3 linked regions of the Macaca fascicularis genome follow. Each later gene encodes a partner of the first gene's protein in a complex. Links are inferred from orthologs where the notes say so. Each region holds a gene or a part of one and is shown on either strand. Other genes may lie near its edges.

Region 1 (3,328 bases):
CAGCACACTCAGGTCTCTTCCCTGCAGTGTTTTCATTTTATTTTAGCCAAACATTTTGCCTGTTTTCTGTTTTAAACATGATAGTTGATATGAGACTGAAACCCCAGGATAGTGGAGGGAAATTGGCTCAGAGGAGACGGACAACCTGGCAACTGTGAGTCCCTGCTTTCCCTGACACCAGCCTCATGGAATATGCAACTCTGGTACCCCAGTCCAGGGTGTTCTGGCAGCAGGGACACCTGGGCCAAGGGGCCATCTGGACCAAAGGTGGGGTGTGGGGCCCTGGATGGCAGCTCTGGCCCAGACATGAATACCTCGGTGTTCCTCCTCCATTACTGTTTCACCAGAGCTGTCTTAGCTTCGAATCTGTTGTGTTTCTGAGTCTGGGGTCTATACTCTTGTTTATAATAAATGCAATCGTTTGGAGCTGCTGCCCCCTTTCTTCCTGGCTGCTGGGATTGGGATCAGGCTGTACTGTTTCCATCAACCATTCGGGCTTCTCGTGTTTTCCCTACTTTTATTGAGCTCAGATAGTTGATCATCCTGCTAGGGAAAGTGAGGGACAAACACTATGCCCTCCTCCCCAGGTCCCTGAGTGTGGGCAGAGGTCTGGACTGCCAAGAAGGGTAGGAGCCAAGTGACCACTCAGTGCTGGAGGAGGGGGGGGTCTTTATTCTTCAGATTTTCCTTCTTGGCCTACTCCCCAGGTGCAGCCAGGGATAGTCCATACAGTGTGGCCACTGCCAAGGTCAGGACGGCCAGTAGACCCAGTGGTGCCAGCAGCCCCTCCCTGGGTAGGGCTCCAGGGTCCTTCATTGGAGGAAGATCCTTGGGTCTCCTTCTCTCTCCAAGGCTGGGACTAGTGTTCCTGGTTGTGGCCAGGTGTGCAGGGGCTGTGACAGCAGATGGTCTTGGCTTGGTCCCAGCAGAGGCTGTGACCCCATACATGGGCCTGATGGTGCTGAAGGGCCTGGCGTGAGCATCTACCCACCGCAGCAGGGCCTGTGGTCTCCACTGACAGATGCTGAGCAGGGCCAGGACATCACCCTCAGCCGTGTGCGAGTCCGGAGGGGACTGCCCATACAGGCGTGTGTAGATGCTGCCTAGGCTGTAGCTCTTCCTTGGGCCGTGTTCTGAGGGGCTGTCTGCTCGCTCCACGGCCTTCAGCGCAGTGATGCTATCCACACAGAAGGCACCATCCAGAGCACTGGTGAGGCCCAGCATAGCCAGCTCTGCTTGGAGCAGGGGGAAGTCATAGCGGTCACCATTGTGTGCCACCAGGCACCAGGGCTGTGGCTGGCGCCGCAGGAAGGCTAGGAGCAGGTTGGCCAGGTTGTCATCGAAACATTGACGCCCATGCGCTGCCAGCACAGCTGTGCTCAGACCTGTGATCTCGCTGGCTGCAGAGCTGCAGGCTTTTCCCGGAGCCACGCACAGGGAGAGCTTGTCCACCACACGCGGTGGTGGAGGAACTGTGGGAGGTGGTCCCTGAGAGGTGGGGGGGCTCTCCAGGGCACATCTGTGGACAGCCAGCAGGCACAGCTCCGTGACCTTGGGCTGGGAGAAGGGCAAGCCAGTGGCCTCCATGTCGAAAAAGATGAGGGTCTGCATGGGCCCCGGGGGCAGGGCCTGCGAGCCCATGGTTGGGTAGGACCTGCCGCTGAGCCTGGGGAGGAGCATAGGGTGGGTGTGTGAGTGCCCAGTGTTAAGATCCGAAGGGGAGGGAGTGGGGTAGGGGGTGGGCAGAAGCACATCTCAGGCCTTCCCTGCACAATCCTGCCCTGTCTGTGAGCTCCAGGGCCCATTTTCAGGCAGGAAGTTGGAGAGGGTGGGGTGGTTTCCTTAGTGGGACCAGCACATTCGACTGTCTGAGAGGGCTCCCTCTTCACATGACTTGGCCCCTCCCCTAGTGCCCCCTTAGTCTGGGGTCGGGGAACCCATGGCCCTCCTGCCCTGCGCCATCCCCTTGGGGAGCCACACTTACCGTAGCAGGCAGGCAGGCAGGCAGTAGTGACTTTGCTGCACACTCTCCCGCGGCTCTCGCTGGCAGCAGTGGCGGGAAGTGAAACTTGGTATGGGCCCGCCTACAGCCCCACGTGAGCCAGGCCCGCCCTGCTCGTCAGCCTGCCTGGTCTGTCCCTCTCGCCAACATCCGTCCCCCCACCCCCACTTCCCCGCCCCCAGGGGACCCCAGAGGCCTTCTGAGATCCACGGCTGTGGCCTGATGGTGGCACAATGCACCGGGCCATCACACCAATGACAGGCAGCTGGAAGGACCAGGGCAGTGGCGCCAGACCAGCTCCCGGTGTTACACACTGCTGGGAGCTCCTGCTGCAGCCCTTTCGTGCCCACCTGTGGGTCCCACTTTTCCAGGCTTTCCTGGTTTAGGCCTGGGCCAAGAGCCACCTCCTTCCCTGCCACACAATGGTTTCTTCCCATGGCCCCAGCCCAAAGCAATGACTCAGGACAATTCCACAGGCAAGGCAGGGCTCCTTCCTCAAGGCAGATCGGTTACCATGGGGACTGGGGCTCAGCAGCAGCCAGGGACAGGAAGAAGGATCCCAGCCACTCAAGGTCCCGTCCCGGTCCCGCTCCACCCCTCCCACTCCGCCAAAGAGATTAGACTCAGGAAACAAGGCCAGCCGGTTCTCTGGGCAGTTCCTGCTGGTCACTGCTTTAATCAGTTGATGTGGTAAGGAAAGGAATGGTGCTGGTGCCACCATGTGGCTGGACACTCAGGGCCTCAGCCACACTCCAACTCGGGGTCGTCCACATCGGTTTCCGCGGCACAGAGGTCATCCAGGGCTGCCTCTGAGACAAAAAGGAGAGGTTCTTGGTGAGGGCCCAAAGGTGCCAGGGCCTAGGGCGGGTCCCACCTCTCCTCCCCCAACGCCCGCAGGAACTAACCAGTCCCTTCCAGACCCAGGCCTTGCTCCCTCAGCTACTGCAAACAAAGTGATACAAAAGCAATTCAGACACAGGTATTTCTGGAAAAACTGTGGCTCTGCCAGGCACATTCAACAGATAGGAGCAAAAGGCAGCCCAATATGCTTGGAGAAGAACTGGGGCAGAAGATAAAAGAAAATGACCCCAGTGCCGGAACAGGCTGTAATGGGCAGGGGCCTGCTGAGGGGATGCCCAGGAATATGAGTTGTTGGGGAACCTCAGGGAGAAGCCGTGGGGGCTGGGCGGGAGGGCCTCTGGCAGGCTCACCTTCACAGTCGGTCACGTCAGGAAGCCCGCGGATGAGCATGCTGACCCCCGGCATCACCTGGTCATACTGATGCAGGACCTCCACGCAGTGCATTATGAAGAGCTTGTCCTTCTG
Region 2 (4,136 bases), on another chromosome or scaffold:
CCCGGGAAGCCACAAGGCCGGCCCCGCGCGTACTGCACCCCCACCGCCCGCCTGCCCGCGCCCCGCGCCGCATGGAGCCCGGAGCCCGCATTCCGAGCCCCGCGCCCCGCGCCGGGGAGGAGGGGCGGGGCGTGCGGCGCGAGCCCCGGGAAACATGGCTGCTCGTCCTATTTCGGCGTCGCGGCATGGCCACCAGCTCCCGGAGCCCAGTTGGGAGAGGTGCCGAAGGTGGGTGTGTGGGGGGCCTGGGAGCAGCGCGGCGGGGAGGGGCGCAGGGGGCACGCTCTGGGAGCCATTTGTCTTAAGAACGTTTAAAAAAATACAGTTCCTCCTCCCCCACCCCTTTTGTCCCTCTTTCGCTAGCTTTCTCCCCCACCCCCGCAAATGTGCAGAAAGTGCCCCCTCCTCCGCCACCCGCGCCCCACCCCGCCTCCAGGCAGGGGGCAGGCGTGTGGGCCGCGAGGCTGGGAGGCGAGGGGGCGAAGCGTGAGAAATCGCTCCCAGAACGGCGCGGTGCGCTCCCCTCCCCAACACACACACACACTCGGGGAAGTTTAAAGAGCCGGTTCGACCCGCTTTCCGGCTCTCTCCCGGGGGGCCGGCAGCGTCAGTCGGGTTCGCCAGGCCAGCCGCGCCCCCACACCCACCCGCGGCGACCCCGACCCCGCGCTCGGCGCCCTTCCCCCTCCGCGCAGGGGGCTTCCGGAAAGTACGCGGGAAGACCGCGGCCCCGACCCCCTCCCCCATCACCACACCCAGCCCCCAAACGCAAGGCGCCGGGTCCCGGCCAGGACGAAAGCGGCCGGAGAGAAGCAAACCAATGGCAAATAGTGCGGGGAAACTCCGGCCTCCTCCGGCGGCGCCCCCTACTCTCCCGCGACCGCCCCCTCCCCGCCCTGCGCGCCATAAGGCACTCGCACGTCTCCAGTCCACAGCTGCGTTAAGGCGGGGAGGGGGTAGACAAAAAGGATCTTGTTTTCAAAAGTCTCACTCAGGTTTGGGGGGAGGAACTAGGGAAAAGAGGAAGCGAGGCCTGCCTTCGCGGGGATTCGGGTTTAACGGGCTGGAGGAGCGACAGGCCAGCGCACGGTGCTGCCCAAACTCCCAACTCCGTGGAGCTCGGGCCACCGAGACTGGGGGCGTCCTCCCGCCAGCGCGTCCCCGGTCCCCTCGAGGGGCCAAGAGGGGAGTTGGCCGGGGTCTCCGCCCCAGAGCCGCCAACTCGCCGAAAACACTCAGGTTTGAAAGCGAGAGGGAGGCAGAAATAAAAACCAGCGTTCGAGTCACCCACCCTCACCTTCCCCCTCCTCGGGGGTGGGCTTTCGCTCGAGCCTGGCGATTCCCACCCGTGTAAGTTTCCTCCGGCTGTGCTCCCGCCGCTGCCCAATCAATAACGGCGGCTAGCGGGCAAACTCCCATCCTAGAGCTGCGTGTTTGCCATGCCCGCATAAACGTGGACCCAGCCAGTACCCACCACCGGCGCCAGCTCCGGGCAGCTCGCGTCCTGACAAAGTTTCCCGTGCCCATTTATTAAGCAGGCGCCGAATGGCTGCCGACGAGCCCAGCCCTGAGAAAGACGGGCCGGGGGTTCGAGCTGGGGGACACCAGGGCCCAAAGGCTGGCATCTTGGGGAGGCCGGAAGGAGCTGGGGCGAGGGGGGACCGGGACGTAGCCTTTGGGCAACTTGCACCAGCGATCACTGGAGGCAGGGAGGCGCGGGGATTATCTGTGCCTTTGCACGTTCGAAAATCCCTCCCCCTCCTTCTAATTTATCCTCCCTTCGGAAGGAAAGGAAGAAACATCAGCATCTGGCCCGAAGGTGGGGTGGAAAGAGTGAGGGAGAAAGAGGAGGAGAGGAAGGGAGGCAGAGAAAGGGAGGGAGGGAGAGAAAGGGCGCGTTCACGAACACTACAAAGTTACAAATATGGCTCCCCCGTCTCTCGCCTCATCACTGCAAAGAAATGAAGACGCACTTTAAACTCCAGCCATTCCCAACTCCGCTGCAGCCCCCTCCCCACGCGCTCTCCCCGGGGCCCTCGGCCCACATTTATCAGAAACTAAACCGGACTCGCGAAGCCCCAAACTTATTGTGTGTGCGAGCGAGCGAGCGAGAGAAAGGGAGGGGGGAGGCGCGGGAGGGGGGCGGAAGGGGGGATACATTTATAAAATGTAAAACCCCCTTTTTTTGTTGTTAAATTCAGGAGGCAGCCCCTCTCCTCCTCCTCCCTCGTTAATCTTCCCCCCAGACGGAGTCACGGGAGCAGCGATCTGCGAGGGTGATTTCGCCTCATTCTCTCCGACCCAAACGCGTGCGCCCGCCGGCCCCCGATGGGTGCACACTCGCACGCACACTCTCGCACCCACACTCGCACACGCGGGAGCACACGCACAGGTAGTCACACACCAAGGGCAGCGGCGGCGGCAGCCGGAACATGCTCGGATGGCATTGCAACCCCCCAGCCTTGCCAATTCGCTTGCAGTCCGACCCCCAAACCCGCACCTCCCGGGCGCCCCCCCCAAAAAAAGTGCCTCCCCCCAGCGCGCACACACACACACAAAGTAGGAGAATGGACCGACAGAGATATTTTTGGCAAATGCTCACATCAGAGGGCGTCCTGTTCCGCAGCTCTAAATGAATCCGTCTGCCCATCTCCATCTCTCGCGCTCTCTCTCTGCAGAGGCTCCCGCGCCGGCGGAATTCAATCAATAAACCCCGAACCCACGGCCGCGCGTTTTAGGACTTTGAAGGCTCAACCAGCTCCGCTCGGTTCTCGAGCCCCCAGCACCCGCGGCGCACACTAACCTGATCGCCGTGGAGGCGGGATCTGCGGCCCCGCGGACGAGCGGCAGCGGCCCGAGCCAATCGCCGCCGAGGGTCTCCGGGCAACAGCCAATGGCAGCGGCGGCGGGGGGGGAAGGGACCAATGGGCGGGCTGCGCAGCCGGCCAGGGAGGCTCGGCCATTTGGTTGTGGTGCCGGAGACGGACCCCTTTAGATTTCGGGGCGGCTGAGGAGCGCAGCGGCTGCTCTGTGGCTGAGTGAGGGGGGTGGGCGGAATGGCGGGGGAAGGGAAGGTGACTGTGCCTCGAGGGCCGAGCCGCCCGGCCTCGCCAGCCCGCCGCCGCCTCAGCGTTCGGCCGGGGGCGGGGCCGCAGGTGCGTTCTACGAGGGGGAGGGGCGCGGCCGGAGGGGTCGGGTCGGGGTCCCCGCCCGGCTGAGGGCTTCGCGAGGCGGCGCGACGGGGTTGCGGAAGGAGGCGGGAGGCTTGAGGTCTGGGGGCCGCGGGCTGCCCAGCGGGAGGGCAGATGAAAGGCCTGGAAGGAGGGGAGGGGTCAGGGTGCAATGCGGGGAGGGGCTCGTCGTGTCCCGGGTCCGGCGGCTAGCGCTGGGGAACGTGGCTGCCCCCGTCACCCCCGCCGCGGCCGCCCAGCCCGCGCCCCTCTTCCCCTCCGGCCTCGTCCCGGTCAGGCCGCCGCCGTCGCCACCCGCGTATACATAAGTCAGTAAAAGCAAGATGCTTCCACTTTTGGATGACTTACCGCGCGGTCGCGACCCTTCCCACGAAGAGGCTTTTCAGTTTGCTGTCACATAAGGTCAGCTTGGAAGAAGTGATCACCAGGAGACACCCAAGATCTTGTTTAGGCAATAAAGGAATGAAGACCATGGATTAAGAACTGTTGCTGGATATACAGAATATTAAAAGGTGGAAAAGGAAGGTGCTCATAACTCCTGGTTTTCTGGACGAAACATAATTTATGGGCTTTATAGACCTAGTGAAAGAGAACGGCGCACGGTTTATTCTAATCGTCCACCTGAGTCATTTGGTTCGGTTTGGGTTGCCAAGGAGGCTCTAACTGGAGCACTTTCTCCAGGTTTTTCGGCGTGCTTGCCTTGGGTATTTTTGAATCACATTAAGTTTTAAGAGACCCTAAAGCCCTGATGCCCACTGGGTTACCGACTTATGGCACTAAGTTGGCTGCCTGTGGCTGTTAATAAACCACGGGGATTGTTGTCAACAAGGACAGATACATCCTTACCTTTCCACACAACTGTATTTTAGTGTCTGTTTCTACATGTCTGCACTCTTCCCCACACACCTCAAGATAGTTTTTCCGGATACATTGTGTTTATTTTTC
Region 3 (4,166 bases), on another chromosome or scaffold:
AGTGCTGGGATTACAGGCATGAGCCACTGTGCCTCGCCCAGCCAAGAATTTGAATTTTTATCTCTAGAATGTGTTTAAAGAGGGGTTACTGGTCAATCAATCCCTTGCATTTATCAGAAGATTGCTTTGTAAGTAGCTTGCAGGTACATCTGCTCTCTGCTATTTCAGGAGAACCTTCCCAAAACCAAAACCATAGTTTTCCTCCACAAGCTCCTATGGTACCTAATAAATGCTAGACAATAAGCATTGATGGGTGTCTAGTAATTGCTGATGGAAGATTTTCTTGCTAAAAACACAACCTGTCTCAAAGGGGGAAAAAAATCTCTCTAAAATTATCTGCTCAGGAAGCTCAAGACCAAGAACTCAAACATGCTCAGCTGAGTCACAAATTACAGAGATGCAGTCATATGTGGAACTCTGCACTGCTTTTCCCATAGCAATGCACCTCATATTACAGAGACTATTTTGGAAAATCCTAAACGTAGCCAAACGCTAGGGCACTGAGGTGTTTCCAGGTCTCTAGATACTTGTGTCCACTCTGTCCCTCTACCATGAAGAAGTTTAAATAAGAAAGCCGGGGAGAAACAGGTTAATCACAGTGTTCTCCCATACTATGAAGAAATCAAAATGGGAACAATGAAGTCCACTTACTTGCATGAATTTCAGACCAACAAGGCGGAATCCTTTCTGCTCAAAACGCTTGATAATCTCTCCGACAAGACCCCGCTGGACCCCATCTGGTTTGATGGCAATGAAGGTCCGCTCACAGTTGGCCATGGTCCTGGGGATAGGCAGGTAGAGGAATGAAACGGCGCTGAATCACTTGCCTACATCGTCATCCTCCTCAAGCGGATTATCCCATAAAGCTGGTTCAAATCTGTCAGGTCAGCTGCAGGTCTCCCTCTGCTAAAAACCCAGTTCCTCCCCAGTCCCCTCATCTATGAACAAATATGTCAATGTGGGAAAGGATCCAAAAGCAAGGACTATAATTTCTATCCCATTTGATTTATTTTATTTTTGTTTTGGTTTTTGTGGTTTTTTTAGAGATGGGGTTTCGCCATGTTGCCCAGGCTGGTCTCAAACTCCTGTCCTCAACTGATCCACCCACCTCAGCCTACCAAAGTGCTGGGATTATGGCCATAAGCCACCGCGCCCAGCCCCTTTTTTTTTTTTTTGGTATGGGGTCTTGCTCTGTCGCCCAGGATGGAATGCAGTGGCGCGACCTCGGCTCACTGCAACCTCCACTTCCCAGGCAAGCTATTCTCCTACCTCAACCTCCTGAATAGCTGGGACTACAGGCGCGTGCCACCACGCCCAGCTAATTTTTGTATTTTTTTTTTTTTAGTAGAGATGGGGTTTCACTATGTTGGCCAGGCTGGTCTCCAACTCCTGACCTCAAGTAATCCACCGGCCTCAGCCCCCCAAAGTGCTGGGACTACAGGCATGAGCCCCGTGCCTGGCCACCATTTGATGTAATAAGCTTCTTTTAAGCATCTACTGTGTACCAAACACTGTGGTGGAACTAGGATACAGGAGGTAAAAACTATCTTTCTCAGTAATCAAGCTTGGGAGAAACTACACTGATACAAAGTTTTACTAATGTGAAAGTGATGTCTGGCACAAAGCAGTAAGAAATAATAGTTTGACTTAATGTCACATCCATAGCATTAGGGGTTTTAGAGAATATATCTTTACAACCCCCTTCGTTTTACAAATGAGGAAACAGGACCAGAGCACCAGAATGAAGGCCAAAACCCAGCATTCCCAACCCATTAATCCATTCTTGTAATGTATGCTACACTTTACAATGCAAAGAATATTTTGACTAGCCAATAAACGGTGGGGTGTGGGAGAGCTACAGACATTAGGAATACCTGATACGGGACATCATACTGAAAGGAAGCCTAGAGAGTACCTATTCTGTCCAGATCCCTCATTTTACAGAATACTGGCTCATGATGTACCCTGTATCACATCTTGAGATGGGAAGCCCCTCGCCTTGAAAGACAATCTCTGATGTACACAGCAGCTCCACCTATTGGCCCCACCTTCCTGTCCTTTAGTTAACCTCTTCTTACAGCATCTTAGCACCGTAGCCCAACTTTCTGTTTGTGTGTCTGCCTCCCCACCGGTCTCTGGCCTGCATACCAGGCTGATTTACTCCTGTGTAGGTCTATGGTACCTAGCCACAGGGCCTAGCAGTCAATAAGAGCAAAGAAAATCATTTATCATCACTCTGCAACTTCCAAAAAAAAAAGAGACAAAGCCCAAAGACTGCGGAGAATCGCCCGATGGGGTGCGGGGCAAGAATATTGTCCAGGAGAAAACAGGACTAAAGTGCCAGAAATAGATCCTAAAAATGTCCCTCCACATCGATCCCGGTGACACAACAGTAAGCACTCAGTCCTTGCTGAATGAATGACACACACGCCCGTCATTTATTCAGCAAGGCCTTATAGAACGCCAACTCCGTTCCCGGCACTGCTCTCGACAGAGGCAAATAAGGCACAGCCCTGTCGTCGCGGCCTGACGAGAAAGGCGGCCACCGACAAAGGAGAGTCCATGTGGCATGGGATGTGCGCCGACCGGTCTGCACTTGTCCACAGGCGCTCCCTGCCCCTCCTCCCATCCGATCCTCCTCGCCGCCTCTTAGAGCTGAACTGACCTCTTCACTAACTCCTCACCTAACTCTCTCCGGCGACTACACTCCTTTCCTTTCCCTCTCAGGATCCCGAACACCTCTTACCCTTCCAGCTGGTTAGTCTTGAACTCCGGCTGCAGCCGCCGGAACCCGAAACGCGCCGGGGACCCACGTGGTTCGCAGCACTCGCACGCACGGAACGCTTCCGCGCAGATCCGCTGCCGGAGAGCCCATTTTGCAGAACACCGCTCGCCCACGCTTCCTCTTGGGAGTAGGCAGTCATTCTAGGGAACAACTTTCTGCTGTTTAACTTCCGGCGCCAGCTTTTTCAGACCTTTCCGGTTAGCTGCTTGCTTTCTTCCCTCCACCCCCGGGTTCTCTGACTCACTTCCTTTGTTCGCGAGCAAATTGGCTTCCCGAGAGGTGGCGCTCACACTTTGCATGACGTCCAAAAAGCGCCTGACCTAGAAGTAAACTTTTCGCTCCCGCTTTGTGTTTATTCACCTTTTCTAACCTGTCAAGCAAAAGATTTTATTGAATACCTACTATGTGGACGCATTATTCTAGGCCCTAGGGATACAACAGTATGCTTTCTTGGAGCTTCTGGGAGGGACAGGAGTATAGGAAAACAAGAAACAGATAAGCAAATTAATATGTAATAGATCTCATTATGTAAGTGCTGTGAAGAAAAGGCCAGAGAAATCTCTGAGGAAGTGATAATAGAATGGACCTGCATGAAGTGAGCGAGCCAGCCCAGTGATTCCCTGAGAGCCAAGTATTACAGTGGATATCGAGTGGTAGAAAATGCCGTTAGAATAGAGCCAAATCTTACGCTGTGAGATGCCAATACGGATTTTGCACAAGGCATCACATCATCACTGACATACTTTTTCAAAAAAACATTCCCACTGCTCTCAGGGGAGAGGTACAAAAATGGAATCAGGAGCCTTTTCAACAAATGATGCTGGGTAAATTGGACAAATATAGACCCAAAGAACCTCAACCTAAACCTCACACCTTATACAAAATTCACTCAAAATGAACCATAGATTTAAACATAAAACAATAAATCACTGATGGGGAAAAAAAAAGAGTTAAAAAAAATTCTCAGGACCTAGGGCCAGGCAAATAGTTTTTAGACGACACCAAAAGACCAATCTATAAAAGGAAAAAGTTGATAAATTGGAACGTACTGAAATTTAAAACTTTTTTGGCCTAGCACGGTGGCTCACGCCCGTAATCCCAGCACATTGGGAAGCGGCGGCGGGAGGATCACTTGAGCTCAGGAATTCGAGACCAGCCTGGGCAACATGGTGAAACCTCGTCTCTACTAAAAACACAAAAATTAGCAGGGCGTGGTTGCAGGCGCCTGTAGTCCCAGCTACTCGGGAGGCTGAGGCAGGAGAATCGCTTGAACCCGGGAGGCAGAGGTTGCAGTGAGTCGAGATTGCGCCAGGGCACTCCAGCCTGGGTGACAGAGCGAGACTCGGTCTCTAAAAAATAAATAAAATAAAATAAGTAAAAT

The links.
Region 2: TREX1 (region 1) and ANP32A share a complex: the UniProt entries of both Homo sapiens proteins name them as parts of the SET complex. The link is inferred for Macaca fascicularis from reciprocal best matches to the Homo sapiens genes TREX1 and ANP32A.
Region 3: TREX1 (region 1) and nucleoside diphosphate kinase A share a complex: the UniProt entries of both Homo sapiens proteins name them as parts of the SET complex. The link is inferred for Macaca fascicularis from reciprocal best matches to the Homo sapiens genes TREX1 and NME1.

What each region holds. Positions count from the first base shown.
Region 1 is NC_088376.1:111,432,523-111,435,850, reverse strand, and holds TREX1 (three-prime repair exonuclease 1), read right to left. Parts: upstream 2,052-3,328; 5' UTR 1,985-2,051; intron 1,667-1,984; 5' UTR 1,642-1,666; coding exon 697-1,641; 3' UTR 501-696; downstream 1-500. Other genes in the region: ATRIP (ATR-interacting protein), read right to left, coding at 2,744-2,811, 3,214-3,328. UniProt on the Homo sapiens protein: Major cellular 3'-to-5' DNA exonuclease which digests single-stranded DNA (ssDNA) and double-stranded DNA (dsDNA) with mismatched 3' termini. Prevents cell-intrinsic initiation of autoimmunity.
Region 2 is NC_088381.1:45,585,764-45,589,899, forward strand, and holds the start of ANP32A (acidic leucine-rich nuclear phosphoprotein 32 family member A), read right to left. Parts: upstream 2,801-4,136; 5' UTR 2,657-2,800; coding exon 2,603-2,656; intron 1-2,602. UniProt on the Homo sapiens protein: Multifunctional protein that is involved in the regulation of many processes including tumor suppression, apoptosis, cell cycle progression or transcription. Promotes apoptosis by favouring the activation of caspase-9/CASP9 and allowing apoptosome formation.
Region 3 is NC_088390.1:55,553,380-55,557,545, forward strand, and holds the start of nucleoside diphosphate kinase A, read right to left. Parts: upstream 2,801-4,166; 5' UTR 2,747-2,800; exon of another isoform or gene 2,685-2,746; intron 782-2,684; 5' UTR 778-781; coding exon 652-777; intron 1-651. UniProt on the Homo sapiens protein: Major role in the synthesis of nucleoside triphosphates other than ATP. The ATP gamma phosphate is transferred to the NDP beta phosphate via a ping-pong mechanism, using a phosphorylated active-site intermediate.